Linked DNA regions of Oryctolagus cuniculus. The protein of the gene in region 6 interacts with the protein of the main gene of each other region in a biochemical or structural test. Links are inferred from orthologs where the notes say so. Each region holds a gene or a part of one and is shown on either strand. Other genes may lie near its edges.

The links.
Region 1: of the proteins of CCNE1 (region 6) and FBXW7, one has a biochemical effect on the other in vitro, tested with the Homo sapiens proteins (18 studies listed by BioGRID and IntAct, with this or other methods). The link is inferred for Oryctolagus cuniculus from reciprocal best matches to the Homo sapiens genes CCNE1 and FBXW7.
Region 2: of the proteins of CCNE1 (region 6) and CDKN1B, one has a biochemical effect on the other in vitro, tested with the Homo sapiens proteins (4 studies listed by BioGRID, with this or other methods). The link is inferred for Oryctolagus cuniculus from reciprocal best matches to the Homo sapiens genes CCNE1 and CDKN1B.
Region 3: the proteins of CCNE1 (region 6) and CDC25A form a complex in vitro, tested with the Homo sapiens proteins (2 studies listed by BioGRID). The link is inferred for Oryctolagus cuniculus from reciprocal best matches to the Homo sapiens genes CCNE1 and CDC25A.
Region 4: of the proteins of CCNE1 (region 6) and ARIH1, one has a biochemical effect on the other in vitro, tested with the Homo sapiens proteins (3 studies listed by BioGRID). The link is inferred for Oryctolagus cuniculus from reciprocal best matches to the Homo sapiens genes CCNE1 and ARIH1.
Region 5: of the proteins of CCNE1 (region 6) and H1-5, one has a biochemical effect on the other in vitro, tested with the Homo sapiens proteins (4 studies listed by BioGRID). The link is inferred for Oryctolagus cuniculus from reciprocal best matches to the Homo sapiens genes CCNE1 and H1-5.
Region 7: of the proteins of CCNE1 (region 6) and BTRC, one has a biochemical effect on the other in vitro, tested with the Homo sapiens proteins (2 studies listed by BioGRID). The link is inferred for Oryctolagus cuniculus from reciprocal best matches to the Homo sapiens genes CCNE1 and BTRC.

Annotation. Positions count from the first base shown.
Region 1 is NC_091439.1:12,199,196-12,202,695, forward strand, and holds part of FBXW7 (F-box/WD repeat-containing protein 7), read left to right. Parts: intron 1-2,353; coding exon 2,354-2,477; intron 2,478-3,500. UniProt on the Homo sapiens protein: Substrate recognition component of a SCF (SKP1-CUL1-F-box protein) E3 ubiquitin-protein ligase complex which mediates the ubiquitination and subsequent proteasomal degradation of target proteins.
Region 2 is NC_091440.1:110,363,029-110,367,096, forward strand, and holds the start of CDKN1B (cyclin-dependent kinase inhibitor 1B), read left to right. Parts: upstream 1-1,268; 5' UTR 1,269-1,913; coding exon 1,914-2,388; intron 2,389-2,944; coding exon 2,945-3,066; 3' UTR 3,067-3,074; intron 3,075-4,068. UniProt on the Homo sapiens protein: Important regulator of cell cycle progression. Inhibits the kinase activity of CDK2 bound to cyclin A, but has little inhibitory activity on CDK2 bound to SPDYA. Involved in G1 arrest. Potent inhibitor of cyclin E- and cyclin A-CDK2 complexes.
Region 3 is NC_091441.1:100,778,504-100,782,003, reverse strand, and holds part of CDC25A (M-phase inducer phosphatase 1), read right to left. Parts: coding exon 3,467-3,500; intron 2,453-3,466; coding exon 2,416-2,452; intron 1,778-2,415; coding exon 1,676-1,777; intron 1-1,675. UniProt on the Homo sapiens protein: Tyrosine protein phosphatase which functions as a dosage-dependent inducer of mitotic progression. Directly dephosphorylates CDK1 and stimulates its kinase activity. Also dephosphorylates CDK2 in complex with cyclin-E, in vitro.
Region 4 is NC_091443.1:110,729,969-110,734,178, forward strand, and holds the start of ARIH1 (E3 ubiquitin-protein ligase ARIH1), read right to left. Parts: upstream 2,801-4,210; 5' UTR 2,473-2,800; coding exon 2,098-2,472; intron 1-2,097. UniProt on the Homo sapiens protein: E3 ubiquitin-protein ligase, which catalyzes ubiquitination of target proteins together with ubiquitin-conjugating enzyme E2 UBE2L3.
Region 5 is NC_091436.1:169,837,342-169,840,832, forward strand, and holds H1-5 (histone H1.5), read right to left. Parts: upstream 2,316-3,491; 5' UTR 2,260-2,315; coding exon 1,582-2,259; 3' UTR 501-1,581; downstream 1-500. UniProt on the Homo sapiens protein: Histone H1 protein binds to linker DNA between nucleosomes forming the macromolecular structure known as the chromatin fiber. Histones H1 are necessary for the condensation of nucleosome chains into higher-order structured fibers.
Region 6 is NC_091449.1:26,428,976-26,432,475, forward strand, and holds part of CCNE1 (G1/S-specific cyclin-E1), read right to left. Parts: intron 1,913-3,500; coding exon 1,766-1,912; intron 920-1,765; coding exon 824-919; intron 649-823; coding exon 514-648; intron 420-513; coding exon 308-419; intron 222-307; coding exon 64-221; intron 1-63. UniProt on the Homo sapiens protein: Essential for the control of the cell cycle at the G1/S (start) transition.
Region 7 is NC_091446.1:28,367,130-28,371,198, forward strand, and holds the end of BTRC (F-box/WD repeat-containing protein 1A), read right to left. Parts: intron 836-4,069; coding exon 629-835; 3' UTR 501-628; downstream 1-500. UniProt on the Homo sapiens protein: Substrate recognition component of a SCF (SKP1-CUL1-F-box protein) E3 ubiquitin-protein ligase complex which mediates the ubiquitination and subsequent proteasomal degradation of target proteins. Recognizes and binds to phosphorylated target proteins.

The DNA.
Region 1 (3,500 bases), on a different chromosome or scaffold from region 6:
TGGCTGCAGTGGCCAGAGCTGGGCTAGGAAGTAGCCAGGAGCTTCATCTGGGTCTCCCACGTTAGTACAGGGGCCCAAGGAGTTGGGCCATTTTCTGCTGCTTTCCCATGAGCATTAGTAGAGAGCTGGATGGGGAGTGGAGCAGCCAGGACTCAAGCTGGCGCCCACATGGGATGCCGGCCCTGCAGGTGGCAGCTTTACCCACCACAGCACTGGCCCCCGGGGTTGTATTCTTGAAACCCAGGCTGTTCTGGATTTGTTGTTTCCTAGCATGCAGTATCCATTGGCTATTTCTGTAAACTGCTTGATTTCTAACTCAGATAACCAAAGAATTGTGATATTTTTGTATCGTGGTTCTCCATATATCAGGCTTTAATTAGCATCTCTTGTACTCTGTCTGAAAATTTCTGTGCTAAATTATAATTCCACATAAATTAATCATATGATGACTTCACATTACTACTATGCTGACAGTATGCCAACTTGCCTAAACTTTTATTGTAATTAACTGGCTTTATGGAGTACCTGTTAAAAAGTACAATATTGAAAGAGAGGTGCGTGCATTTGTTTATGTGTATACACATACGTATATGCACACATGCATAGGTTATTAAATATAGTTATACCTTTGTTTAAGTGACTCCATTTCTGTACATAACACTGAGTGGTCTTCTCTGGTAGACCAAAGGTAATTAATTATCTTGCAAAAAGTTTTCCACTGTCACTTATCAATAATGGTATTAAATTGAATACTGGCTGGTTGGAGCACTTTGTATATAGAATGTGCTCCATAAATATGTGATTGATGTGGAACTCTGTACATATAAAGTCATTGAGAAGTGGTTATTTATATCATGTAATTCCTACTTAGCAACAAAAAAACCTCAAATTGTTGTTTTGCTTTATTCCCTATATGACCCTTGACCCTTTAAGTGATGGTTAATGTTAATCCTTGTCATAACTTTATCGTTCTTTGATGAACTTTTCTCCAGATATCATAATTTAAGTTTCTTGTGTGACATGTGAGGCTACTTGAATCAGCATTGTCAGAGGCTTCCATTTTCCTCTTCCCTTTTCTTTTTTATTTAAATTGACTTTATGCACATTAAAAAAGATACTATAAATAAACTTTTTAAATCACAGAGCTAGCTCAAATATGCAACTCTGTGTAGCCCATCAAGAAAATCTCTATAAGCAATGTAAAGTAATTAGAATCCAGTTATATATCTACCTCTTAGAAATGATATGAAGGGCCGACGCTATGGTGCATCGGCTTAACGCCCTGGCCTGAAGCACCGGCATCCAGTATGGGCGCTGGTTCTAGTCCCGGCTGCTCCTCTTCCGATCCAGCTCTCTGCTGTGGCCTGGGGAGAGCAATAGAAGATGGCCCAAGTGCTTGGGCCCCTGCACCCATGTGGGAGACCCGAAAGAAGCTTCTGGCTCCTGGCTTCGCATCGGCACAGCTCCGGCCGTTGCAGCCATCTTGGGAGTGAACCAGCAGATGGAAGACCTTTCTCTCTCTCTCTCTCTCTCTCTCTCTGTCCCTACCTCTCTCTGTGTAACTCTGACTTTCAAGTAAAATAAATTAAAAAAAATCTTTAAAAAAAATAAATGACATGAAATTGAACCACAGAGAACCTGTAGAATCTTATTATCAGACCATGAGGCAAGCATTCAGGTGGTGTTCAGTGAATGTATACTGTAGAGGGAGAGAGTAATTTTAAACAAGTAATACAGTTAAATTATTGAGCTGAAGCTCACAGAGGAAAGGAAAGAGCAGAGACTGAGGCGTTAGTTAAGTGTTCTTTGAAGAGGTAGCGTTAGGAAAGTTCATAAAAACCAGGATGGTGCTTGTTTTTAGTCTACTGCATATTTGTTAAGATTGAAGATACAGGGCAGGCGTTGCGCTTACAGCAGGTGAAGCTGCCATTAGGGAGGCCCACGTCCCATGTCAGAGTGCGGGTGTGAGTCCCGGCTGCTTTGCTTCCAGTGCATCCTGGTGGCAGCAGACAATGGCGCACATGCTTGGGTCCCTGCCACCCACATGGGAGACTGCTGGATCTGGCTCCTGGTTTCAGCCTGGCCAGCCCTGGCTGTTGCACACATCTGGGGAGTAAACCAGCAGATGGAAGATACTTTCTGTCTTTCTCCCTCTCTCTCTGTCTCACTCTGCCTCTCAAATGAATAAACAAACTTTAAAAAAAAGATGAAAGTTACTGTCACATAATTTTAGAAATTATAATGTCAAGTTACATCTATATGCAAGTATTTTATCCTATGGATAATAATGCACTTGTTTCTGTAAATTGTTCTTTAAAATGTGGGTATACTATGCGTCTCTTCTTTTTCATAGCTGGCACTTTACGTGCTTTCATTCCTGGAACCCAAAGACCTGCTACAGGCGGCTCAGACGTGCCGCTACTGGAGAATCTTGGCTGAGGACAACCTTCTCTGGAGAGAGAAATGCAAAGAAGAGGGTAAGACTCAAAGCTGCATGGAGCGTAAATCGATGCTTCGGAAAAGGAAAGCGATGCTGAAAACAAGTAGGGAAAATAAAAATGAGTGCATTTGATGTGCAGGTAGAATAAAGTAGTGGGTCATTGAGAAAAGGAGAGAGAGAAGTTTGACACCCTATAAAAGAATGGGTCTTCATTTAAATTCACCTACATGAGTTCAACAATGAAAAAGTCAAGATGAGGATAATTTAAAGGAAACCCCAAAGTTATATTATCAATTAAGTACCCAACTATTCAGTGATTGTTTGTTCCTTCCATGAATATTTATTGAATGTCTCCAGTGAGCTAGACTGTATTCTTAAATGCTGGTAAGACAGCAGCGACCTGCCATTTTCTTCCTGTCACGGAGCGTGTATTCCTGAAGCCTGTGTTTTTGAATACCCTGTCTCAGTAGAGGAGTAGACCTTGCGCATACTAATTCAAGGGAGAGCTCTCCGCTTTCCAGCAAACATGTAGGAAAATAGCATTTTTGACAAAATATTACTTGCTTTAGAGAGGCAAAACTTTTGAGAAAGAGTCATAGAACATGACCCAGGTAACTCTGTGGGTGGTCCTGTCTTTCGTGGTGCTCAAGGTCATGTGGGGAACGTTGACAGTTAGGCCAGGTTGGTAAAGCTTTGAGGAGGAGACCCCATATACTAGGTTTCTGATCCTGCTTCTACCCTGTCTAGGGCAAGGAGTAATCTGTGAAACCTTCCTTCTCAATTATCTGTATACAGAACGTGGGGTTCATAGCTCTGCCTTACCTTTACCATAGAGTCCGTTTTAGATGTCTTTTTACAAAGTGGTGACAAAGCCATAACAAAATCTGTCATGTAACCATCTGGAAGTGGTGCCGGGTGCTTCACGTTTTGTGCAGGGTCACCGCCATGCACCTCTAGAGCTTCTTCCTCTTGCCTAGCTGAGCCTCCATACTTGCTGTGGGCAGCTCTTCCCCCTCCTCCCCCGAGCCCCCAGCAGCCACCCTTGTGCTTTTTGTCCCCC
Region 2 (4,068 bases), on a different chromosome or scaffold from region 6:
CATCCTCCACTGCACTCCCTGGCCATAGCAGAGAGCTGGCCTGGAAGAGGGGCAACCGGGACAGAATCCGGCGCCCCAACCGGGACTAGAACCCGGTGTGCCGGCGCCGCAAGGTGGAGGATTAGCCTATTGAGCCACGGCGCCGGCTTCGGTGTCCAATAAGACTTAACTAACTGATCCCACAGTAAGATGCCACAAGTTGTGAATGGGTGATGCGCAGACTGAGCTGTCTCCAACGGGACGGCCCTGCCCCCGGCCTGTCTCAACTTCCACCACCTGCAGAAGACCAACCTGGCAGGTAAACGTCAAGTTGCAAAGGAGAGCCGAGAGAAATGCCCGAATAACATCGGGTGTTAGGACAGGGCTGTGTGAACTCACTTTATCACGTGGACTTGGAGTGTTTTCACCCAGGCATCTAAAAGCACGCAGCTGAACGTCGTTCAGAGAGTTCAGCCTTCATCCAAATACAGCTCCGAGTCGGGTGCTGCAGCGAATCCCGCGGGAGAAGCAAGGGGCTGGGCCCAGGTGGAAGAAATAGGAACAGTTCTCCACACCCGTCCCTCCCTGCACTTGGGGGCTGCAACCTCGGTTTTTAAAAGCCGGGTTTAGGGACAGCAACAAAGTGCACGTAGGGGCTGGCGAGGCCAGACGGGGGTTGTCCATCCCGAGGTCCTTTCTCCTTTCTATTGAGGGAGAACTTGGGTTCCAAGCGCGTTCTAAACGCTGCGTCCACTTCCGGCTACTTTAGAGAAAGTCGTCTGCCCTGGCTCGCTTCCCCGAGCCCCTTCCCTGCCTGCTCTGGGACTTAGTGGTGAGGGGTGAGCTCACCACTGGTCTCACCCTCTACAGCCCCAGCGAAGGCACCCGGGCAGGGGGCCTGCCCGCGAAGTGGGAGCTGCGGGGGAGAGCCGAGCTGGGCTGGGGTGAGGTGGGGGGTGGGGGATGGGGAAGGGAAGGGCAGGGCTCTTACCCCCACCCCCACCCCCGGCTTGGCGGGCGCCAGCAGAACCAGCTGGGCGGCGGGCCTCAGAACGAGGCGCGGGGGCGACCCTCGGGGCCCCTGGGCTCCGGGCCCGTGGTTGCCCTGGCGAGGAGCCGGGAGGTCGGCGCTTGGGGGCGGCTGCGCGTCCTAGACCCTGGCGGCCCCGCCCGGCCCGCCGCCCAGGCCCCTCCCTAGCGCCGCGGCCGGCCGTTTGGCTCTTCGGGGCCCGTCGCCTTTTTAATTTCTCCGCGGCCGGCGCAGCAGGTTTGCTGGCAGCCGCGCAGCCCCCGTCTGCAGGCGGCGCTCGGGGACGCGGGCGGGCGCCGGCCCCCGCGCCGGGGCCACCTTAAGGCCGCGCTCGCCAGCCTCGGCGGGGCGGCTCCCGGCGCCGCGACCAATGGATCTCCTCCTCTGTTTAAATAGACTCGCCGTGTCAATCATCTTCTTCTTCGTCAGCCTCCCTTCCACCGCCATATTGGGCCACTAAAAAAAGGGGGCTCGTCTTTTCGGGGTGTTTTACGCCCCCTCCCTTCTCTCCACTCTCTCTCCCCGCGGCGCGGCTCCGTCGGCGCAAGGTTTGGAGAGCGGCTGCTTGCGGAGACCCGCGGACTCGCTCCGGCCTGGACTCGGACCGGCCGGGTCACCCCTCCCCGCTCCTCCCCTCCCCTCCCCGCCCTCCTGCGCGCCCGCACTCCTGATCGGCAGCGGCGGCGGCGGCCTGGGCTGCGCGGCCGGGGCGTCCCCGCTCGGCTCCCGCACCCTGCGCGCCCCCAGGAGCGCGGGCGGCGACTGGTCTGGGTCCATCTCCCCGGGCTCTGAGCGCATTCGCGGGGCTCCGCAGCGTCGGAGCGTTGGGCTGCGTTCGGTTTTGTTTTGCGGAGAGCGCGCGCCAGAGAAGAGGCGGCGGGGTCCAGACCCGGTACGGGGCGAGATGTCCAACGTGCGCGTGTCCAACGGGAGCCCAAGCCTGGAGCGCACGGACGCCAGGCAGGCGGAGCACCCCAAGCCCTCCGCCTGCAGAAACCTCTTCGGCCCGGTGAATCACGAAGAGCTGACCCGGGACCTGGAGAAGCACTGCAGAGACATGGAGGAGGCGAGCCAGCGCAAGTGGAATTTCGACTTCCAGAATCACAAGCCCCTGGAGGGCAAGTACGAATGGCAGGAGGTGGATAAGGGCAGCTTGCCCGAGTTCTATTACAGACCCCCGCGGCCGCCCAAGGGCGCCTGCAAGGTGCCGGCGCAGGAAAGCCAGGACACCGGCGGGGTCCGCCCCGCGGCGCCGGTGGCCGCGTCCCAGGCCAGCTCCGAGGACACGCACCTGGGGGACCCAAAGACTGAGCAGTCCGACGGCCCCACGGCCTTGGCCGAGCAGTGCGCGGGGATGAGGAAGCGACCTGCCACAGACGGTAAAGACCCTCCCGGAGCCGAAAGGCGCCTCTGTCCTCCGTCAGTCCGTCGGTCCGTCGGTGCGCGCTCCCGCTCTGCCTGCTTGCGGCTCTTTAACTCCAGCCTATTCTGATGGGAGAGCTCGGGGCGCGGGTGGGGGGTGGAGGGAACGAACTTTTTTATTGATCTCGGGTTTTTGAATGTTACCCGGGAGGCTGCTGGTCTGTTTATAAAGGCAGAAGCCGGGAGATTGTAGGATCTGATCGTTTTGCCCAGGTTGAAAACAGCGCCTTTCCTTCCTACCCCTGGGTAGGTGACAAGGTCGGGATGTTGATCAGCGGCCTCCAACACCCCCCCCCACACACACACACCGGGTCAGGGTAGAGGAAGGTGCGGGGGCCCCATTTCTGTGTGGTGCAGACCACCTTCCTGGGGGCCGCCCCGTCCAGGACCGTGCGTGGAGGCGGTGGGTTTTCATCCCCCTGGCCACTGGGCCAACTTGTGCCGGCCATTGTTTCTTTTACTGAAGATTGTGTGTGTGTGTGTGTCCTTTAAATAATCTCCTCTTGCCTTTAGATTCTTCCCCTCAAAACAAAAGAGCCAACAGAACAGAAGAAAACGGTTCCGACGGTTCCCCGAACGCCGGCTCTGTGGAGCAGACGCCCAAGAAGCCGGGCCTCCGAAGACGTCAGACGTAAACAACTCGGTGGGTTCATCAAAAACGGACACCCCGCGCCCCAGAAAAACAAGCCCAGCTCTGACACCCTAGCTGGGCTGCAGGACCGGTCCCCCCTCCCCCTAATACCCATAGCCAGCTGCTGGGTGCTTGCAGGGTTTGGTTTTGTTTATATTTTGAAAAGGCAAAAAAGTAGCCATGGGGCTGGCTGGAAGTCACCAGCCGTTGGGATACTGTAATCCTTCAAGGTTTCTCTCTCTGGGGATGATTTTCCCTTGAAACACTAACCGCCTAGAGCAAGTACTTGTCATTTTCCGTGAGTCACACCCACACGGGTTGGGAACAATAGATTCCTCCTTCCATCTGAGCAAGAACTGGGGTGCCCCCTCAGTCCCCCTGTTCCAGAGCTCACTTCCTAGCCTATTCAAGTGGAGACAGTAACAGGTTTTGAGCCATACATGGAAAATTGGCCAACACGCAGTCAAAATTTAAACGTGGAGAGAAGAGTTGGTTTATGTGAGGGGTTAGAAATGTGACCAGGGAGGTGAGAGATTGTGTTCTTTTATCTTTATTATTTTTGTAAACTGTCATTTTCCCTTTTTATTGAATATGTTTTGGTCAGAGAAAAGGAACCTGTGTATTAAAAAAAAAAAAAAAAAAGCCAAAAGTGGAAAGCTCGAATATACTCAGATTCCTACGGAATTTCTGATAACACAGAAGCTGCAAAGCAGAAGTTAAGTTCACTGTGGCACAGTAAGCAGTCCAGGAACACGTCAGCGCGTATGCTAATCACACTGTTACCAGCATGATTTGGATATTTGTAGGGGAGATGTCAGGACTGGTGAGGGTAGGTTTACCAGTACAGGAAAAATGAAGTGTTTTCCATATACTAAAATCTGATCACGGTGGATGGCTCATTTGACTAATTCAGCTTCTAACTTTACCTGGATTGGCTGTCCCTCCTGATCAAACTACTTATATTAATAGTTTGGTGGCTTCCTATACACAAGGAGTGTGATCTCTC
Region 3 (3,500 bases), on a different chromosome or scaffold from region 6:
ATACAAAGCAGAGTGATAAACTACAAATGCCGTCTAAAATCCTAATGCAATGCCATCACAATTAACTGTCCATTATGTCAAAACATTTCATCTGAGGGCTTCATATTTTTTACCTCATCCTACCAATGGCAGACAATTATTTTCCCACTTAAGATGACTACTGTATTTCATAGAAAAAGCAATGAAAAAACCCTACTGGTTTACTCAACAAGGATGATTTTTACAATGTTGACTGTAAATAGCTAAATGTGACAGATTACATGATTTCACTTAAACTTCAAAAGCACTCATGAACCCTCACCCTAAATATTCACTTTAAGAACCTGTTACTTTTTCTTAATATTTATTTAGGCAGTTAAAAAAAACTAGGCCTTAGAGGTGAAATGTGCCTATGATACTGAAGGCAGACAGAGTGACTCCAGAACAGCTCTTCAACCACCATCTACCCAATTTTCCCTTTAGAAAACAGCTCTATGCAGGCAATCAGGGAGAGGCTTGGGGGATAACAAAGCATTGTAACAGTTTGGCTGGCAGAAAGAAACATTGCATGGGGGTAGACCCATTGCTTGCTCTGCAAGCCCTGAAGGCAGGAACTCATTTTCATCTCCTTCATGACATCTCCCAAGTTACCAAAGAATCGTCAGGAGAGTTCATGAAGGCAGGTTTTACACTAACTCTATAAGAATATAATGATCACAAACTGATTATTTTTAGCAGAAAATGGAACAGAGAGAAAACAGACATATGGAAATACTCTGGGAAAGGGTAGGGAGAGTTAAGCAAATATGTTCAACTGTTTTGGATGCCTTCCTGTGCATCTGAAAAAGTCAGGGGTGGGTGTCTGGCCTCTTAGGATGCCCACATTCCGATTTGAGTGGCTGGCTTGAGTTCAAGCTCCTGCACTTTTGATTCAGCTTATTGCTGATGTGCACCATGGGAGGTAGCAAGTGATGGCTCAAGTGTTTGGGTCCCTGGCAACCATGTGGAAGACCCAGAAGGAATTCTGGGCTCCCAGCTTTGGCCTGGCCCTACTCTAGCTATTGAAAGCATTTGGGGAAGTTAAACAGCAGATGGGGCTGGCACTGTGGCGCAGTGGATTAAGCTACCATCTGCAGTGCCAGCATCCCATATGGGCATCGGTTTGAATCCTAGCTGCTCCACTTCCAATCCAGCTTCCTGCTAATGCGCCTGGGAAAGCGATGGAGAATGTCCCAGGTCCTTGGGCCCCTATATCCAAGTTGAAGACCAGGATAAAGCACATGGATCCTGGCTTCAGCCTGGCCCAGCCCTGATGTTGCAGCCATTTTGAGTGAACCAGTCAATGGAAGATCTCTGCCCCTTTCTCTGTAATTTGGACTTTCAAATAATTAAATCTTTAAGAAAATAAAAACAAACAAAAAACCCCAGCAGATGGTAGATCTGTTGCTGCCTACCTTCCAGGCACCATTTTAAATTCTTTATACAATGGCCCTAAGAGGTATTGGTATCCCTACTTTACAAAGAAGCCTAAAAAGGGAAGTTATTTGCCAAGCTCCCACAGCTAGTAAGAAGCAGGATTCAATCCCAAATTTTCTGACTACAAAGGCCACACACTTCTCTGGCCAAAGTTGAATACTCCCAGAAATTTTTCTGCAAACTCCTGATATCTGGCTTAGTGCAGTGATGCCACACTCACATTTTCCTTGTTCTCATCCTGGTCGATGAGCTGAAAGATGTCATGGTCAAGAGAATCAGAATGGCTCCTCTTCAGAGCTGGGCTGCATCCCAAGAGCTTCGGCTATCAAATTGAAAAAAAGGAAATAATTAGGGTACATAAATAAAAATTCCATGGAAAACAGCTCTCAAAAGAAGTGAGGTGGGAGATAACTTCATCCCCAAATATCTGCATAAAAGGCCCTTTCCTAGCTCTGTGCACTGTAGGTTGCTGTGGCATGGCAGGTAAAGGCTGCTGCCTGCAGTGTGCACATCCCTTATGGGCAGATCCTGGTTGCTCCACTTCCAATCAGCTCCCTATTAGCATCCCTGAGAAAGCAGCAGAGAATGGTCAAGTGCTTGGGCCCCTACATCCATGTGGGAGACCCAGTTTCTGGTTTTGGCTTGGCCCAGCCCTGGCCATTGTGTCCATTTGAGGAGTAGACTAGCAGGTGAAAGATCTCTGTCTTTCCCTCTCTATAACTGCCTTTCAAATAAAATAAATCTTAATAAACAAAAACAAAACTTCATCCTGTTTTAATCAAGTTCTGCTAGTCAGATGTCTTCAGTGGGTAGCCCTTATTAAAGCTACTGTAGTCTCGAGTGCTTCTGAGACTGAAGAAAAGCAGTTTCACTTTCTACATTGAGGTCTATCAAGGCAAGCTGGAAGCTGGCAAGCAGACAACAGGTACGACCTCAAAATAAACAAGGGAACTAACTTACAGGCAGGGAATTTATCCTCTTCATGGGATTTTCGAGACTGTAATAAGATCAGAAGGTAAACAATGAGAATAAAGCAAGTAAAGATGTTCATTTTAACCTACAATGTGAGGGAGCAGTCAAACACATTCCTATTTTAGGAAAGAAAAGAAATAAATTTCTGATGCTATCCTATTTTTTTGTTTTTATTTTTTATTTTTTTTATTTTTTGACAGGCAGAGTGGACAGAGAGAGAAAGGTCTTCCCTTGCCGTTGGTTCACCCTCCAATGGCCACCGCGGCCGGTGCGCTGCGGCCAGCGCACCGCGCTGATCCGATGGCAGGAGCCAGGAGCCAGGTGCTTTTCCTGGTCTCCCATGGGGTGCAGGGCCCAAGCACCTGGGCCATCCTCCACTGCACTCCCTGGCCACAGCAGAGAGCTGGCCTGGAAGAGGGGCAACCGGGACAGAATCCGGCGCCCCGACCGGGACTAGAACCCGGTGTGCCGGCGCAGCAAGGCGGAGGATTAGCCCAGTGAGCTGCGGTGCCGGCCGCTATCCTATTTTTAGGAGCACCTCCAACACTGGGCTTCTAGGTAAAAAAGAAAATCCAAACCTTCCCTTAAAATACATTCTCTTAAGAATTTGACTAACACCAAAACAAGAGCTAAAATCTAAGGAGGGAAGTACACACTACTCGTGAAGTTTTTCCAGAATCCAGGGGTCTTTCTAGGAACAGCTAAAGCTAGGGTTCCAGTGCAGAATATAAAGAACTTCAGTAAAAAATTGAGGGACAGGCTATTGTAGCACAGTGGGTTAAGCTGCTCCTTGGGATGCCTGTATCCCAATTGCAGTGCCTGACTCTTCTGTGCTTCTAACCCAACTTCCTGCTCATGTACCTGGGGGGCAGCAGATGATACTTTGGCCTGGCCTAGCCTGGGCCACTGGGGGCATTTAGGGAGTGAACCTGTGCATGGAAGATCTCTCTCTCCACATTTCAAATAAATAAGTAAATCTTTTAAGAAGTTAAGAAAGGCTTTTTTTCTATGTATAAATTTAAAAGCAGTGAATACATACTTTTCTTTCCTGTCCAAGGGCCCAGGAGAATCCA
Region 4 (4,210 bases), on a different chromosome or scaffold from region 6:
AGAGACTGCTTTGTTTTTGCCCTCTCTCCTCCACTGAAAACAGAACACACAGCATGATTCCACCGGGACTGGAAACTCCGCGCAGCTATCCCGAGGTCTGGAAAGGTAACTACAGTTCAGTTTAGTGTTCTCTCTCTGAGCGGAAGGCTTATTTTGTCATTTTATTTTTCTTGCCTAGTCACTGTTTTTTTCCTCACAATGTGGATTTATTACTTGCATAACTTTTAAAGTCTACATCTATTAATAAAATGAACTTGCAACATAGCCAAAGCCCATCTGAGACCTAGGTAAGTATACCATTTGGAGAAAAAATGGTCACAGAAACACTCTGCCCTTCGATTTTATTGCTATTTCTAAGAAGGAGGTTTGAACAAGGGATAGATACTTATGAGTATACAACACCAGGTATATTCAGGAATCCTATTTAAAACCGATCTTACAATAAGGCAGACGATGAAAGTTTTCTTTCAAAACACCAGGCATGGAAACAAGGTAAAAGTAGGACACATAAAAAAGAAAAAAAGTCCCTGGTATCCTGTAGGTCTTATTAGTTCACTCCATCAGCATTTACTCTCTCTCACTTAAAAGAATGCTATCACATGCACTGGTCACATTTCTTTCCAGAAGTGACATAAAGAACTTGATTGGGACCTTTGGTAATTAACACAAGCCTCACAGCTGAGAAAACTAGAAGAGACTTAACCACAGGAAAAACAGACTTCAAAAAAAAATCAGAAAACTAAGTAACAAATATCTACAAGTTTTTTAAAGCTAATTAAAATTGCAGAAGGCCAGGCAATAAGCTTGAGAACAGATTTTGTATGACAGCTGTAAATAAAGTTTCACTTTAAATTCCTAAAATTCTCTTTAGGTAAAAAAAGCAAGCTCTCAATTCGGTGGCCCAGTATTTCAACTATCGTTATTTGTGGAATTAAAAAAAAAAAAAAGCAGTAAATTTGTACCTAAAACCGTTCGGCTTCCTTCTTGGATCCCAACTGTTGAAGAACAGCACTAGATACGAGACTCCCTGTTATTCAGAACGGGAAGTGCTGCCTTCAAAGACGGGGCTACTCTGAGACTGGTGCTTACTAAACTACTCCACGGGGTCCGCTGGAAACGGAGTCAGGACACAGGCCACGACACACTGCTGATCGGGGACCCAGCGAGCCGCCTGAGGGATTTCTAAAAAAGTGCCGAGGGACAGGCAGGAAAGCAACAGCAACTGCTGCTCGCGCAGGGAGCCGGCGTCTTCGGAACGCCGCACCGGATCAAGGCATTTTTATTCTGCAACCACATCCCTTGCCGCCTCACCACGATTTTTCCCTCAATAAAAAGTTTTGATTTCCTTAAAGAAAAAAAAAAAAAACACCTGCAAAACCCGATGCACAGGCTTAAAGGAGCCGCGATCACCGAATTCGGCCAAGCCTCGCTTCCTGACCACGGAGCAGGAGAGCACCGAGCTCAGACACAGAAAACCTCACAAAACGGAGCCCCGTCCAGGGGGACGCCCTGCGCTCGGGGGCTGCCCGGCGAGCCGCAGGGACGCGTGTGCGGCCGGCCGGAGCGGCCCCGGCGCTCGCCTGCAGCCAGCCAGGACGTCACCGCCGCCAGCAGCAGCCGCGCCGTCGGAAAGGGCCCACCCGCGCCTCTTCCCCTCCCCCGAGCAGGCAGGCGCTCGGCCTGCCGGGCGGATCCGTTTCTCCTTTGACTCGTGCCCGCTTGGGGCAACCGTACACCCAGCTGCTCGCGGGCCTGCCCTAGTCCCTCCCCAGACCGGCCCGGAGCACCCAGGACCGGGCCGATCCCCCGCCACTCCTCCTCCTCCCGCACCCGCGCCCGCCCCGCCCCGCGCGGGAGGCAGCCCGCGGCCGCCGGGCCCGGCGCGGCAGGCATCGGCCGCGAGCCGGAGGCCCCGGGCGGCGGCGGCAGGCCTGCGCCATGGCCGGGGCCGGGAAGCGCCGCCCCCGCGCGCCTCCCCGCGCCCGGCCCGGCCCGGCCCGGCCCGGCCCGGCCCGGCCGGCGAGCGCCCGCCCGCGCACCCTGCATCCCCGGCAGGGGCGGCGGCGGCCGGCAGGCCCGCGCGGCGGCCACGCTCACCTGGATGACCTCGTTGACCTCCCGGATGCACTCCACCATGTGCTGCAGGATCTGCTCGGCCGTGAGCACCTCGTAGCGGTAGTCCTCCTCCTGCTCGTGCCCAGGCCCGCCGCCGCCGCCGCCGCCGCCGCCGCCACCGCCGCCGCCCGGCCCCAGGGCGCTGCCGCCGCCGCCGCCCGTCTCCCCGCACAGCAGTCCGTCCCGCTCCCCGCCGACGCCCAGCCCGGGCTCCACCAGCTCCACCTCGCCCAGGTCCAGGTTATCATCGTCCGGCTCGTCGTCGTCCTCGTCCTCCTCCTCCTCCGCGCCGCTGTCCTCCTCGCTGCACTCCTCGTCCTCGTCGAACTCGTAGTTGTAGCCCTCGTCCGAGTCCATGGCGCGGCGGACGCTGGCCGAGGCGGGGAGAGGGCGGGGACGCCGAGGCCCCGGCTCTCGCTCCGGCTCCGGCGGGTGTCCGGGGCGCAGGCCTGGCTGCGGCCGCGCGGGCCGCGGCTCCTCCCCGGCGCGGCGGCGGCGGCGGGCGGCTGGCGGCGGGCGGCGGGCGGCGGGGACGGCGCGCGGGAGGCGGCGAGGGAGGCGGCGAGGGGCCTGTGGCCGCCCGCCTCAGTCAGACGCCGCTCCGCTCCGGCCTCCGAGAGAAAACAGCCCCCAGCGCCACCTCCACGGCCGCTGCTGCCGCTACTGAGCCAACAAAGGGGCGTGCGTCACCGCGTCGCGCTGCGTCGCGCGTCACGCCCGTACGTCACCGCGCCCCGCCCCGCCGCCCCTGCGCGCCGTGTGCGGGAAACCCCGCGGCCCGGCCCGCCAGGTCGGCGAGCGCCGCGGCGCCCCAGGGTCCGTGGTGCGGCCGAGCGGCTCTGCGGGGCCGGGGCCCGTGGGGGTGGGGTGGGGGCGCCTCCCACGAGACGGCTGCGGCTCCGTGGCCCCGGCGGCGGCTGTGACCGCGGGGGACCCGTCCGTCCCCTGCGCGGTCCAGGGGGACCGGGCGTGACTCCTGGCAGCCGCGGCTCTGGACTCGAGCCCCCCGGGCCCCCGGGCCGCTGAACTGTGGGGGTTGGGGGGCGCGGGATGCTGCGCGCGCGCGCGCGTGGAACCTACGCTGTGCGGCAGGTGCAGCTCGCGCCCGTGCCCCCGACGGTGACGTCACGCGGCGGGCGCTGCCTGGGGCCCGAAGCTCCGAGTTCGCCTGGGCTCCGCTATCTGCGCGCCGGACGGGGCCCGAAGCCAAAGGGGCCGGGCAGGCCACGGAAGGCGCTCCCTGTGCTTGGGGGGGGGTTGCTGGACAGGCGTCAAAACGCTTTGTAAGGACCCGGTGCGGTACGCCGGGCACCGCCCCACAACGCGGCGCCGGTGGGGGCGCGGGCACCTGCGTCCTGCGCGCCCAGGGCAGGCGGGGTGCGAGGGAGCGAGCAGGACAAGCAGGTGCACTGGCGAGGTGCTGGCACGGCTCCGATGCCATCCTGCCAGTGGACTTGGCGTCTTTGTAAACAGGAGAGCCGGGGAAACACGCGCAGCCCAGAACATCCTATCAAACGCCAGGCGCTCGGTGTCACCCAGCAACCCGTGTCGCCCCCTTGGTAACTCCCGTTACACCTTTGCTGGTTTCCCCCAACCCTGCTCACAGCAGAGAAATGGGGAAAACACAAGGACCAGGAGCGAAGCAGTGGAAGCCGGCCGTTGTTGCAATGGGAAGCGTTGCAGGGTTTTAGAAGAGTGAACTTGGGATCTGTGTTCCCGAAAAGAACCCTGGCTCCTGCGTGCAGAATGGGCTGTGAAGGCAGAGACCGGTTAGGAGCCCGTCTTAGAAGTCCAGGTGACCACAGGGCCTTGAGCTCGGGCAGTGGCAGGGCAGGTGATGAGAAGAGACCGGATTCTGCCTTAATTTGAAAGGGGGGCCAGCACCATTGGCTGCGGGTCTGGCGGTGGGGAGGGCTCCAGGATGCCTGCTAGACTTGGGGTTCATCAAAGTTTGGTGGGGTTCTGAAACCAGTGAAGTGGCAGGGGCTTGTTGGGTATGGAAGTGACGAGTAGGCCGTTCCCTGTACTAATGTCCACGTTTGAGTTGTTCCTGTAAACAAGGTTGAGAAGCGGCACCAGCCTTCAAAGCCTGCCT
Region 5 (3,491 bases), on a different chromosome or scaffold from region 6:
AGACAGGCAATGCTGGTTAGAAATGGATTACAAAGGAAAAGGCAGTCTAGAAAGGATGTACACTTCTGAGACTCCTGAAGCATGAAGCCACAGGAAGCTCAATACCTACACGCACGGTGACGGTGTTGGGCAGTTTGCAGAACGTCGTTTCCACACCGATTAATTTAACGTCAAAGGCAAGATGCTCTGCCAGCCGGGACGCTGCGAGCCTGCACGTGAGGAAAGGCCTCCTGGCCTTTTGGTTTACAATTTCCCTTCTTACGGAAAACACAGTAAGGGGGAGTAGCGGGAAATGAAGCCTGGGGCCGATTCAGAGACGCAAAAGACGGAAAACGGCGACCAAGTGAAAACAGTAAACGCCGTCCCTTAAAGGGAAAGATTAACAGGAGCGTGAACGGGAGCTGGAACTCCAGATAGAGGAACCGCGCGGGAAAGGCATGGAGGCGGGGGGAGGCGAGAGGACCTCGGCCCCACAGGGACAGGCGTTCAGAGGCGCCGGCAGCCTGTAAATGGCGGGCCCAGCACCTGCGGTAGCGGCGAGGACCCACCCTCCCTCCCTAACTGGTGAGAAAAGGGGATTCATTGGGTTGAACTTCATTCTCCTTCTCGACTTCAGCATCACTAGTTCATCTTTGTGCCGATTAAAGCTAGGTCCCCGATGTCATGACGCCCGAGGCATAGGACTAGTGGCAGCCGTCGGGGTGCTCCTGCTGGTGTGCCTTGTATACGTACGTGGATGCGCCTGCACTGGCCCTTGGTGGTGAGCTAGCAGCCTAGCTCCTGGCAAGAGGGAGACGCAAAGACAAACCAGCCTACGGAGGGCGGCGAGAAGAGCCCGCCACGGCTCTTCATTTACGGGACGCTATGCACAGAACACAAGGCAGCTAGCTGTCCGCGACTGCGTCACATATGCGTCACCCAATCGAAGGCTCTACCCTACATCACCCTATTCCATTGGCCTAAATGAAAACAGCGCAGGAGCCAATCGCACGGCCACCTCTTCGCGCTCAGCAGAAGCAGCAACATAATCTACTTTCTACTTGCAGCTTTCGGCTGCGTGTTTAACTATGTCCGGACGCGGCAGGCAGAGGCGAGGTGCGCATCAAGGCCAAGACGCGGCATCCCGGGCCGGGTTGCAGTTCCCCGTGGGCCACGTGGACCGGCTGCTGCGCAAGGGCAACCGCGCGGAGCGGGGGGGGCGCCCGTGCACCTGGCGGCCGAGACCCTGGAGCTGGCGGGCTACGCAGTGCGCAACAAGACGCGCACCTGCAGTTACCATCCGCAACGAGCTTAAAGCTGCGCGTCGGCTTGTGCCCGCATCGAAGGCTCTTTTCAGAGCCATGGAAACCGCTCCTGGAGAGCCAACGTCCCCCGGGGCCAGGTGGCGAGGGCTACCCCCGACAGGCGAGTGGGGGGGGACACTACACTCCGTGGAATGGTAGGGCACTCGAAGCCCACATAGCTACGTGCGAGCCTGGCTGGACACGAGCGAAGGGTGGACAGACAGCTCTCTCCAGAGGTCTCTGGGTGGCTCTGAAAAGAGCCTTTGGGGCTTGGTCGGTGGCCAGACGGCGCAGCTTTTTACTTCTTCTTGGCGGCCGTCTTCTTGGCCTTCGCGGCCTTGGGCTTGGCGGCCTTGGGCTTGGGAGCCTTGGGCTTGGCGGCCTTCGGCTTCACAGCCTTGGGCTTGGCGGGGCTCTTGGCCGCCTTCTTGGGCTTGGCCGCAGCCTTGGCCTTCTTGGGGCTCTTGGCCACCTTCTTGACGGCCGCCGCCGCGGGCTTCTTGGCCTTCTTGGGCGTCTTCTTCACCGCCTTCTTGGCCCCCGCGGCCTTCTTGGGCTTCTTGGGGGTGGCGCCCGCGGGCTTCTTGGGCTTGGCCGCGCCCGCCTTCTTGGCCTTGGGCTTGGCCTCGCCAGACGCTGCCTTCTTGTTGAGCTTGAAGGAGCCCGAGGCGCCGGTGCCTTTGGTCTGCACCAGGGTGCCCTTGCTCACCAGGCTCTTGAGGCCCAGCTTGATGCGGCTGTTGTTCTTCTCCACGTCGTAGCCGCCCGCCGCCAGCGCCTTCTTGAGCGCGGCCAGCGAGAGCCCGTTGCGCTCCTTGGAGGCGGCCACGGCCTTGGTGATCAGCTCGGACACCGGGGGCCCGGCGGCCTTGCGCTTCGCCGCGCCCGCGCCCGGTTTCTTGGCCGCCTTCTTCTTGGCGGGGGACTTCTCGGCAGGCGCCGGAGCGGCGGTCTCGGCAGGAGCGGCTTCCGACATGGCGGCAGGAGTCGCTGCGGAGCCCAGAGCACAAGTTTTGGCGATGCCGCCTCGCTCGGGTCGGGGCTTATATAAGCCGGCGCTGCCTCGTGATTGGTGGAGCGTCCAATCCGCCGCCCTCGGGCCGCCGCCGCTCGAGGCTGCGTCTCCAGGTTGTGTTTGTTCGTCCCCGAAATTCGATTAAATGCAGAAAACATCGGCACGGAATTTGACGCTTAGGCGTTCCAAAGGAGGAAACCAGCCCCCAGGTTCACGGACTTGTTTGTGGGTTCGTCAACCGAGCGCAATGGAGGCGGGATATTCTTAAAAATCCCTGCGGCGTTTGGTGAGAACCCCTTGGGCTGACGGTATCCTGCTACTTAGTTGCAAGTTGCAATAAATTTCGAACAAGTATCCAGCGAACAGCGTTTAGAAGGGTTTATTCCTAGTGTCAGCCTTTGATTCCTAGAAGAGGAGCGGCGCTGGGTTCCTTGGTTTGGACGGAAACATTGTTTCTAGCTGTAGCAAGTAGCACAGGGAGTGCGCAGCTGGCTGTCTGCAGCCTCACGCCGGTCACACCGAACTGGCTGTAAAGACAGTTTATGGGGGCCGAGGAGGTCTTCAGGGAATGAGGTTTTCAGCTTGGGAAATCTGGGTTTTCAGAGCGATTGTTGCGAATAGCAACCGGAGGGTCAGAAAAGCCCTTGACTTTAGAATCCAACTCCTTGAAATCAAACTCTAAATTTTGTACATTTCCTAATTAGGATACTTACTTTAATTGCTGGTTTAAATCTATTAAAATAGACATGATATTTAACAGATAATTTGCATTACCAAAACAACCTCTCAAGTATGAAAAATGAACCAGGTCGCCTAGTAACCTAATAAGCGCACGAGTGCTTAAAGATGTAGGGTGATGTCTGGTCTCCGAAGCGTTCTTCCCAATGTCTGCACTGATTTCCGACAGCACTGCGTGAACTACATGATCACAAGTGCTCTTTTCTGTAAGCAGCCAGGGTGGACCAGTATGGGTGTTTTTGCAGACTCATTTTTTGGAAGACGAATTGGATACTGACTGTGGAAGGCTGAGCTGCAGTTTTCGAGAGGCTGAATGCTCTTACGGTTCAGAAAAGGATCCTGAAACAACTGAGACGAAGGCCATGAGGTCGGAATGAGGAGCGGGGTTTGCTCTCGAAGAGGGGGGAGCAGGCAGCATTTTAAAGGAGCTCAAGCAACTTTAGTTCCATATTGAA
Region 6 (3,500 bases):
GTGGGGCATCTGGAGCCTGCCTGGAGGACAGTGAGTGGGAGACTAAGCAGGGAGAGCACTGACCAGCAAATCCAAGCTGTTGATGTGGGTCTGTATGTTGTGCGCGTCTTCGGCGGGAACCCCCCTGAAGTGCTTCAGTTTGGAGCTTCCTGTCTCTCTTATAACCATGGCAAATGGAACCATCCACTTGACACACTTCTCGATGTCACACCACTGATACCCTGCAATGGAGAGAAGGCGCAGGCTCAGCCCGAGCGTGCTAAGTTCAACACAGCCTGCCTGCGAGCTCACCGCGAGGCAAACATACCTGACACCTTCTGCATCAACTCGGATGACGAGAAATGGTACAAGGCGGAGGCAGCGAGGACACCATAGGAAAATTCTAGGCAGCCGACATCCAGGACACAGAGATCTAAAAGCTACAGAGAAGGAGAAGAAAAGACCACTGTGGCAGGTGGGCGGCCGGCACGCGCCCCTGTGGGTCCTCGCCCTGGCTGCGGGGTGGCCGCCTACCTCTGCAATCTGTGTGAAGATTTGCTGGGGATACTGTGGCAGTAGCACCTCACACACATCATTCAGGTACGCAACCTGCATGTAGACGTTCAGCCAGGACACAATGGTCAGGGGACTTAAATGCCACTTAAGGGCCTAGAGGGAAACAGAAAGGAGACCCACGGTTGAGAAAAGAAATTCAAAATACAGCCACATTTCATGCCACAGTGTGGCCAGCCGGCGAGCACCCACCAGAGGCACGCCCCTCTCACGAGGAAAAGACATTACGTGTGTGTTTAAGAAATGGCCGAAAACTTAACTTGTAACCTACCTTCATAATCACTAATTCCATGGTAAGAATCTCGTCCCCTGAACAAGCCCCGTCGGTGACATAAGCAAACTGGTGCAGCTTCGGAGGGTAGATTTCCTAGAAGAGGACGAAAGGACGGGACGGTGAGCAAAAGGCCCATCTCCAAAACAGCTTCGGCCTCCGCCGCACCCGCCTGGCGCGGAAGGAGAGGGCTCCCTGTGGGACAGTTCAGGGGTCCCGCCGGTGCCTCACAATCCGCTCACTGCAAAGGAAGGGACACTCTCTCCGCATAAACCCGACCTGTCCTCATGACTGGAGTTTGAAATTCTCATCTTCTCAGTATCTTTTTGAACTACATGTCTGAAAGTTTGGCCCATAGCCTCTTCTGTAATCACCCAAAAATTTACTTTTTTTTTTCCATGAGGGTCAGTTATTATTTACATTTTTATTTATCTGAGAGGCAGAGAGAGAAAAAAAGCTCTTATCTGCTTGTTCAATCCCCATATGCCCACAACAGCTAGGGCCGGGCCAGGGCCAAACTGGAGTCCCCCGCGTGGGTGGCAGGAACCCATTTACAAATCCCAGGGTTTGCACCAGCAGGATGCTGGGGTCAGGAGCCAGAATCGGCATCAAATCTGGGTGCTCCAGTGTGCGATGTGGGGGCCTCAGCTGGCATCTTAATTGCTAGGCCGAACGCCTGACCCTCAAAACTGGCTCCTGGTGGTTCAAAGCTCACTTTTCTCTGTCTTTTCACAATTTTGTGGTTAAGGTAGCTGCATCAACCCAAGTATTCCATATACTCACTCCACCTCTCTGCTCAGCTGGGTTCCAGCCCTCTGGGCATGTGTCTCAAAGTAGACAAATGTAGGATATGTATTATAGACAAGTGGTTGATCTTGTGCCCTAATCTTAGCAATGCTCATGAAACACATTGTTATAGAACAAATACTGAAAATGATTTACCTCGAGTTTGGCAGCAATAAATAAAGATGAGATCCCAATAAGTTGTAGAAGTGTTTTTACAATATTTTCTTGTGTGGCCATGTACCGATCAAAGAAATCCTGTGCCAAGTAAAATGTCTCCCTGTGAAGCTTATAGACTTCACACACCTGAAAAATATTCAGTGCGTTTCAGAACAGGTACTTGAACAACAGCAAAAACAACTTGGTATAACCAATCACGAGAGATGACAAAGAACCTGGAACTCGGATATAAGGACAAAGTGTTCTGTGATCATGTAACCACAGAACAAACATTCATGGGCCACAGAATTGTCATGGAAAAGAACCAAAACAGAACGGAACTGCAGGTTCTCAAAGAATGCTGCCCCCCACCGCCGCCGCCGCCCTGGATTATAAATTTCATTATGACGTGGAGACATTTCCTCCCACCTGAGCAATACCAATAAGAATGTCGAACAGCGGCAATGCAAATGTACGTAAGGACAACAGCATGCCCAAACCACTATAAATCCCAGGAGGCAAAAGCTGTTCTAGAAAGCACTAAACAAGTGACCCAGAGACCCAGGCTTTAGATTTGGCTCTCACTTGGATTGCACTTCAGATTTCTCAAACTTCAAAACTAGGACAATGCTTGCCTTGCCCGCCTCACAAGAGCCTGGTGCAAAAGCACACGCGATGGGATTGAATGGACGGAGAAAATATTAGACCTCAGTTGCCCACCATCGAATGCCTGGTTATGCGTATAGAGCTCCATGTGACACCACCGTTGTCACTCCTCTCCAAGCCACCTCATGGAAGTGCAGATCACGGAGTGAACATGCAGAAGAGGAGCCAGAAAAACCATACTCAGAATACTGCCAGGAAACCCCACGAGGGGCCAGGCATCATGGCACAGTGCGTTAAGCGGCTGCCTGCAATGCTACTGGAGCACTGGTTCAAGTCCCTGCTGCTGTGTTTCACACAGATGAGGACCCAAGTGCTTGAACTTGGATCCCTGCTGCCTACGTGGGAGACTGCATGGAACTCCTGGCTTCAGCCTAGCCCAGCCCTAGTCACTGCAACCATCTGGGGAATAGACCAGTAGATGAAGATCTGTTTTTCTCTCTTCTCTCCATTATTCTGTCCTTAATACATAATAAAAATAAATTTTTTAAAAATTAAGAACAAAATTCTATCAATCACCTAGGCCTATTTCTAAGGTCCAGGCGAGACCATATTTAGCTTCTTTTTTTTTTTTAAAAGGCAGAGTGACAGAGAGAGGAGAGATGGACAGAGATGCAATGGTGGCGGTGGGCCAAGCTGAACCCAGGAGCCTAGAACTCCATACGGGTCTCCCACAGGGGTGGCAGAGGTCCAGGTACTTGGGTCATCTGCTGCTGCTTACCCAGGCACATCAGCAGGGAGCTGAACTGGAAGTACAGCAGCGAGGACTGGACCCAGAGCTTTGATAAGGGTCTCCAGTGTCATAGGTGGTGGATTAACCTGCTGTGCCACAGCGCCAGCCCCAACCACATTTAGCTCTTCATAGAAACATTCCTACAAAGTATGAGGAATGCTGAACTCTTCTGCTTCTAGTCCACACAAATGCTACCAAGAAAATATGGCTGGCAAATACCACAAAGTGACTGACTGGCCTGATGAGGGCACACTGAAGGCAAGGGGCAGCAGGGGATTCACCTGTAGGACTAGCACAGCGGGGCACACATAGCCCTGGAAATGGCCGACTGCAAAGGGG
Region 7 (4,069 bases), on a different chromosome or scaffold from region 6:
TGACAGGAGTGTTCCAGCACAACACTGACAGAAACCAGCACCCCAACCAAGAAGCAGAGCATTTCCTGCATCCTGAAATATCTCTGGCCCCTACCAGCTGACACTAGCTTCACTCCAAACCTACCATTAATTTGTTTGGACTGTTCTTGAATTCCATATAAATAGACATGCACAGACTATATTCTCTCTTGAAGGCTTCTTTCATCGGACACTGTATCTACAAGATTCCACCCTATTATTATATCTACAAAACTGTAGTCTACTTTCTTTGTATTACTGGATGATATTCCACCATACAGAGTACTACAATTGATCTATTATTCTCTTGCTGGTGGACATACACGTTCTGATTACAGTTTATGGCTATCGTAAGTAAAGCTGCTACGAACATTTTTGCACATGTTTTTTGAGGGATACATGTACTCATTTCTCCTAGGAGTACAACTGCTGGCCATGGAGTAGGTACATGTTTACTTTGATAGATGCCATTATGAAAGTTTTTGAAAAGCTGTGCCAGTTTATTTACACTCACACCAGCAGTATAAGAGTTCCAGTTGCTCCACATTCTTACCAACAACTAACACTGTCAATAAAAAGCATTTATATGGCAAGTTTTAGCGGTATTTTATTAGATCCCTTCTATTCCTGGTTTTCTGTTGTTTCTTCCTCTTAATTTGAAAGGTACAGTGACAGAGGAAGAGGCAGAGACAGAAAGAGATACCTGAGGCTGGCGCTGTGGTGTAGCGGGTAAAGCTGCTGCCTGCGGTGCCGGCACCCCATGGGCACTGGTTTGAGTCCCGGCTGCTCCACTTCTGATCCAGCTCTCTGCTGTGGCCTGGGAAAGCAGCAGAAGATGGCCCAAGTCTGTGGGACCCTGCACCAGTGTGGGAGGTCTGGAGGAAGCTCCTGGCTCCTGATTGGTGCAGCTCTGGCTGTTTCAGTCATCTGGGGAGTGAACCAGCAGATGGAAGACCCCTCTCTCTCTCTGTCTCTCTGTAACTCTGCCTTTCAAATAAATAAATCTTAAAAAAAAATAAAAAATAGGTATCTTCCATCTGCTGATTCACTCCCAAAAGGTCTCAACGGCTAGGGTTGGGTCTGACTGAAGCCAGAGGCCCGTAACTCCATCTGCATCTCCTACAAGGGAGGCAGGAGCCCAAGTACTTGCATCATCACCTGCTGCTTTCCCAAGTGCATTAGCAGGGAGCTGGAATGTTAAGTGGAGCAGCTGAGACTTGAACTGGCGCTCTAATACGGGATGCTAGTGTTGCAAGTGGCAGCTTAAGCTGCTGCATCCCAAGGCTACTCCCTTGCTCAGAGTTTTATCATGAATGGGTGTTGCAACACTTTTACTGCATCTACTCATGTGCTCATGTGATTTTTCTTCTTTAGCCTGTCAATGTGGTAGATTACATTATTAGATTTTTTTAATGTTAAAAGCAGCTTTGCATATTGTACCTAGATAAATGTTATCTGATCATAGTGTACCATTCTCTTTATACATTTTTATTTTGTATTTCAGATAAGTCTTTAAAAATAATTTTAAAAAGTTTTATTTATTTATTTATTTGAGAGGCAGTTTGATAGAGAGAGAGTGAGTGAGAGAGAAGGAGAGACAGAGAAAGAGGTAACTGCTATCTGCAAAGGCCAAAGCCAGCAGCCAGGAACTCCAAGTTCCTGGGCTCTCTTCTGCAGTCTTCCAGGTGCATTCACAGGAAGTTGGATGGGAAGTAGAGATGGGACTCAATCCCAAGCAACAACTTAACCCACTGCACCACAGTGCTTACCCCGTTTTACATTCAAGATCTAAAGGCGCTCAAACATGAGCACCTATGTTCGTGAGAAATACTGGTCTGTACCAAGTTGTTCTTGTGGTACCTTTGCCTGGTGTGGGAATTAGGGTAATGCTGGCTCCACAGTGTGGGTTAGGAAACATTTTTTTTTAATTTTTTTTATTATTTTTTGACAGGCAGAGTGGACAGAGAGAGAGAGAGACAGAGAAAGGTCTTCCTTTGCCGTTGGTTCACCCTCCAATGGCCGCTGCAGCCGGCGCACCGCACTGATCCGATGGCAGGAGCCAGGTACTTATCCTGGCCTCCCATGTGGGTGCAGGGCCCAAGTACTTGGGCCATCCTCCACTGCACTCCCTGGCCACAGCAGAGAGCTGGCCTGGAAGAGGGGCAACTGGGACAGAATCCGGCGCCCCGACCGGGACTAGAACCTGGTGTGCCGGCGCCGCTAGGCGGAGGATCAGCCTAGTGAGCCGCGGCGCCGGCCAGGTTAGGAAACATTCTTTCTCCTTTTATCCTAAAGAAGAAATTAGAAAATGGGTGAAATTTCTGTCTTAAATGGGGCCTGGTCTCAAAATGTTTTAGAAGGCTGCTACCTACTGATTCAGTTTCTTTAATAAATACAGGCCTGTTCAGATTATCTACCGCTTTATGTGTGAACTGTGGCACTGTAACTTTCAAGGAATTATTCTGTTTCACATAGGCGATTAAACTGCGGGCATCAAGAGCTGTGCACAGTATTTCCTCTATTATCCTTTTTTTTTTTTTTTTTAATTTTTTGGACAGGCAGAGTTAGACAGTGAGAGAGAGAGAGAAACAGAGAGAAAGGTCTTCCTTTTCCATTGGTTCACCCCTCAATGGCCACTGTGGCCGGTGCACTGCGCTGATCTGAAGCCAGGAGCCAGGTGCTTCCTCCTGGTCTGCCATGTGGGTGCAGGGCCCAAGCACTTGGGCCATCCTCCACTGCACTCCCGGGCCACAGCAGAGAACTGGACTGGAAGAGGAACAACTGGGACAGAATCCGGCGCCCCAACCGGGACTAGAACCCGGTGTGCCAGCGCCACAAACGGAGGATTAGTCAAGTGAGCCACGGCGCCGGCCTCCTCTATTATCCTTTAAATGTTCATGAAATCTGTGGCGATGCCCTTTCACTGCTGATACTGTAATTTTGTTTAATCTCTCTTTTCCTTATCCTGGCTAAAGGCTTATCAATTTTATTGATATTTTTAAAGAAAACCAGCTTTTTGGTTAATTTATTTATTTGACAGGCACGTGCGCACACAAACACACACACACACACACACACTCACAGAGACAGAGAGACAAAGTTTCCATCTGCTGGTTCTCTGCACAAATGCTTGCAACGGCCAGGGCTGGGCCTGGGGGCAAGGTTGGAATCAGGGAACCTAATACAGGTCTTTCCTGTGGATGGTAGGAACCCAATTACAAGAGTCCAATCCAGGCACTACGATGTAGGATTTGAGTATCTTAACTGCTTGGCTAAATGGCCACTCTCCCAGCTCTGGTCTTACTGATTTTCTTGCCTATTTCATAGATTTCTGCTCTAATTTTTTTCATTTCTTTTCTTCTGCTTACTTTGGATTTAATTTGATCTTCTAGTTTACTCAAGTAGAAACTTTATTGATTTCACAGCTTTCTTCTCTAATACATGCATTCAATGCTATAAATTTCCCTACATCCCACAATTTTTAAATAAGCCATATTTTCATTTTCATTTGGTTCAAAATATTTTTAAAGATCTATTTATTTATTTGAAAATCAGAGTTACAGAGAGGAGAGGCAGAGAGAGAGAGGTCTTCCATTTGCTGGTTCACTCCCCAATTGGCTGCAATACCCGAGCTGCGCCGATCTGAAGCCAGGAGCCAGGAGCTTCTTCCGGGTCTCCCACATGGGCGCAGGGGCCCGAGGACTTGGGCCATCTTCTACTGCTTTCCCAGGCTATAGCAGAGAACTGGATTGGAAGTAGAGCTGCCAGGTCTTGAACCGGTGCCCATATGGGATGCCAGTGCATCAGGCCAGGGCGTTAACCTGCTGTGCCACAGCACTAGCCCTTCAAAATACTTTTCAAAGTTCTCTGACCCATATGTAACTCAGAAGGATGCTGTTTAATCTCCATGGATGCTCTGGCATTTTGCAACTATTTCTATTTTCCTGTTATTGATTTCTAGTTTCATTCCATTGTGGTCACTGTGATCTGAGAACCCATCTTCACCCCTGATAAGAGTCCTTATTCTGAAGTCTGCTCTCTGAAATTAATA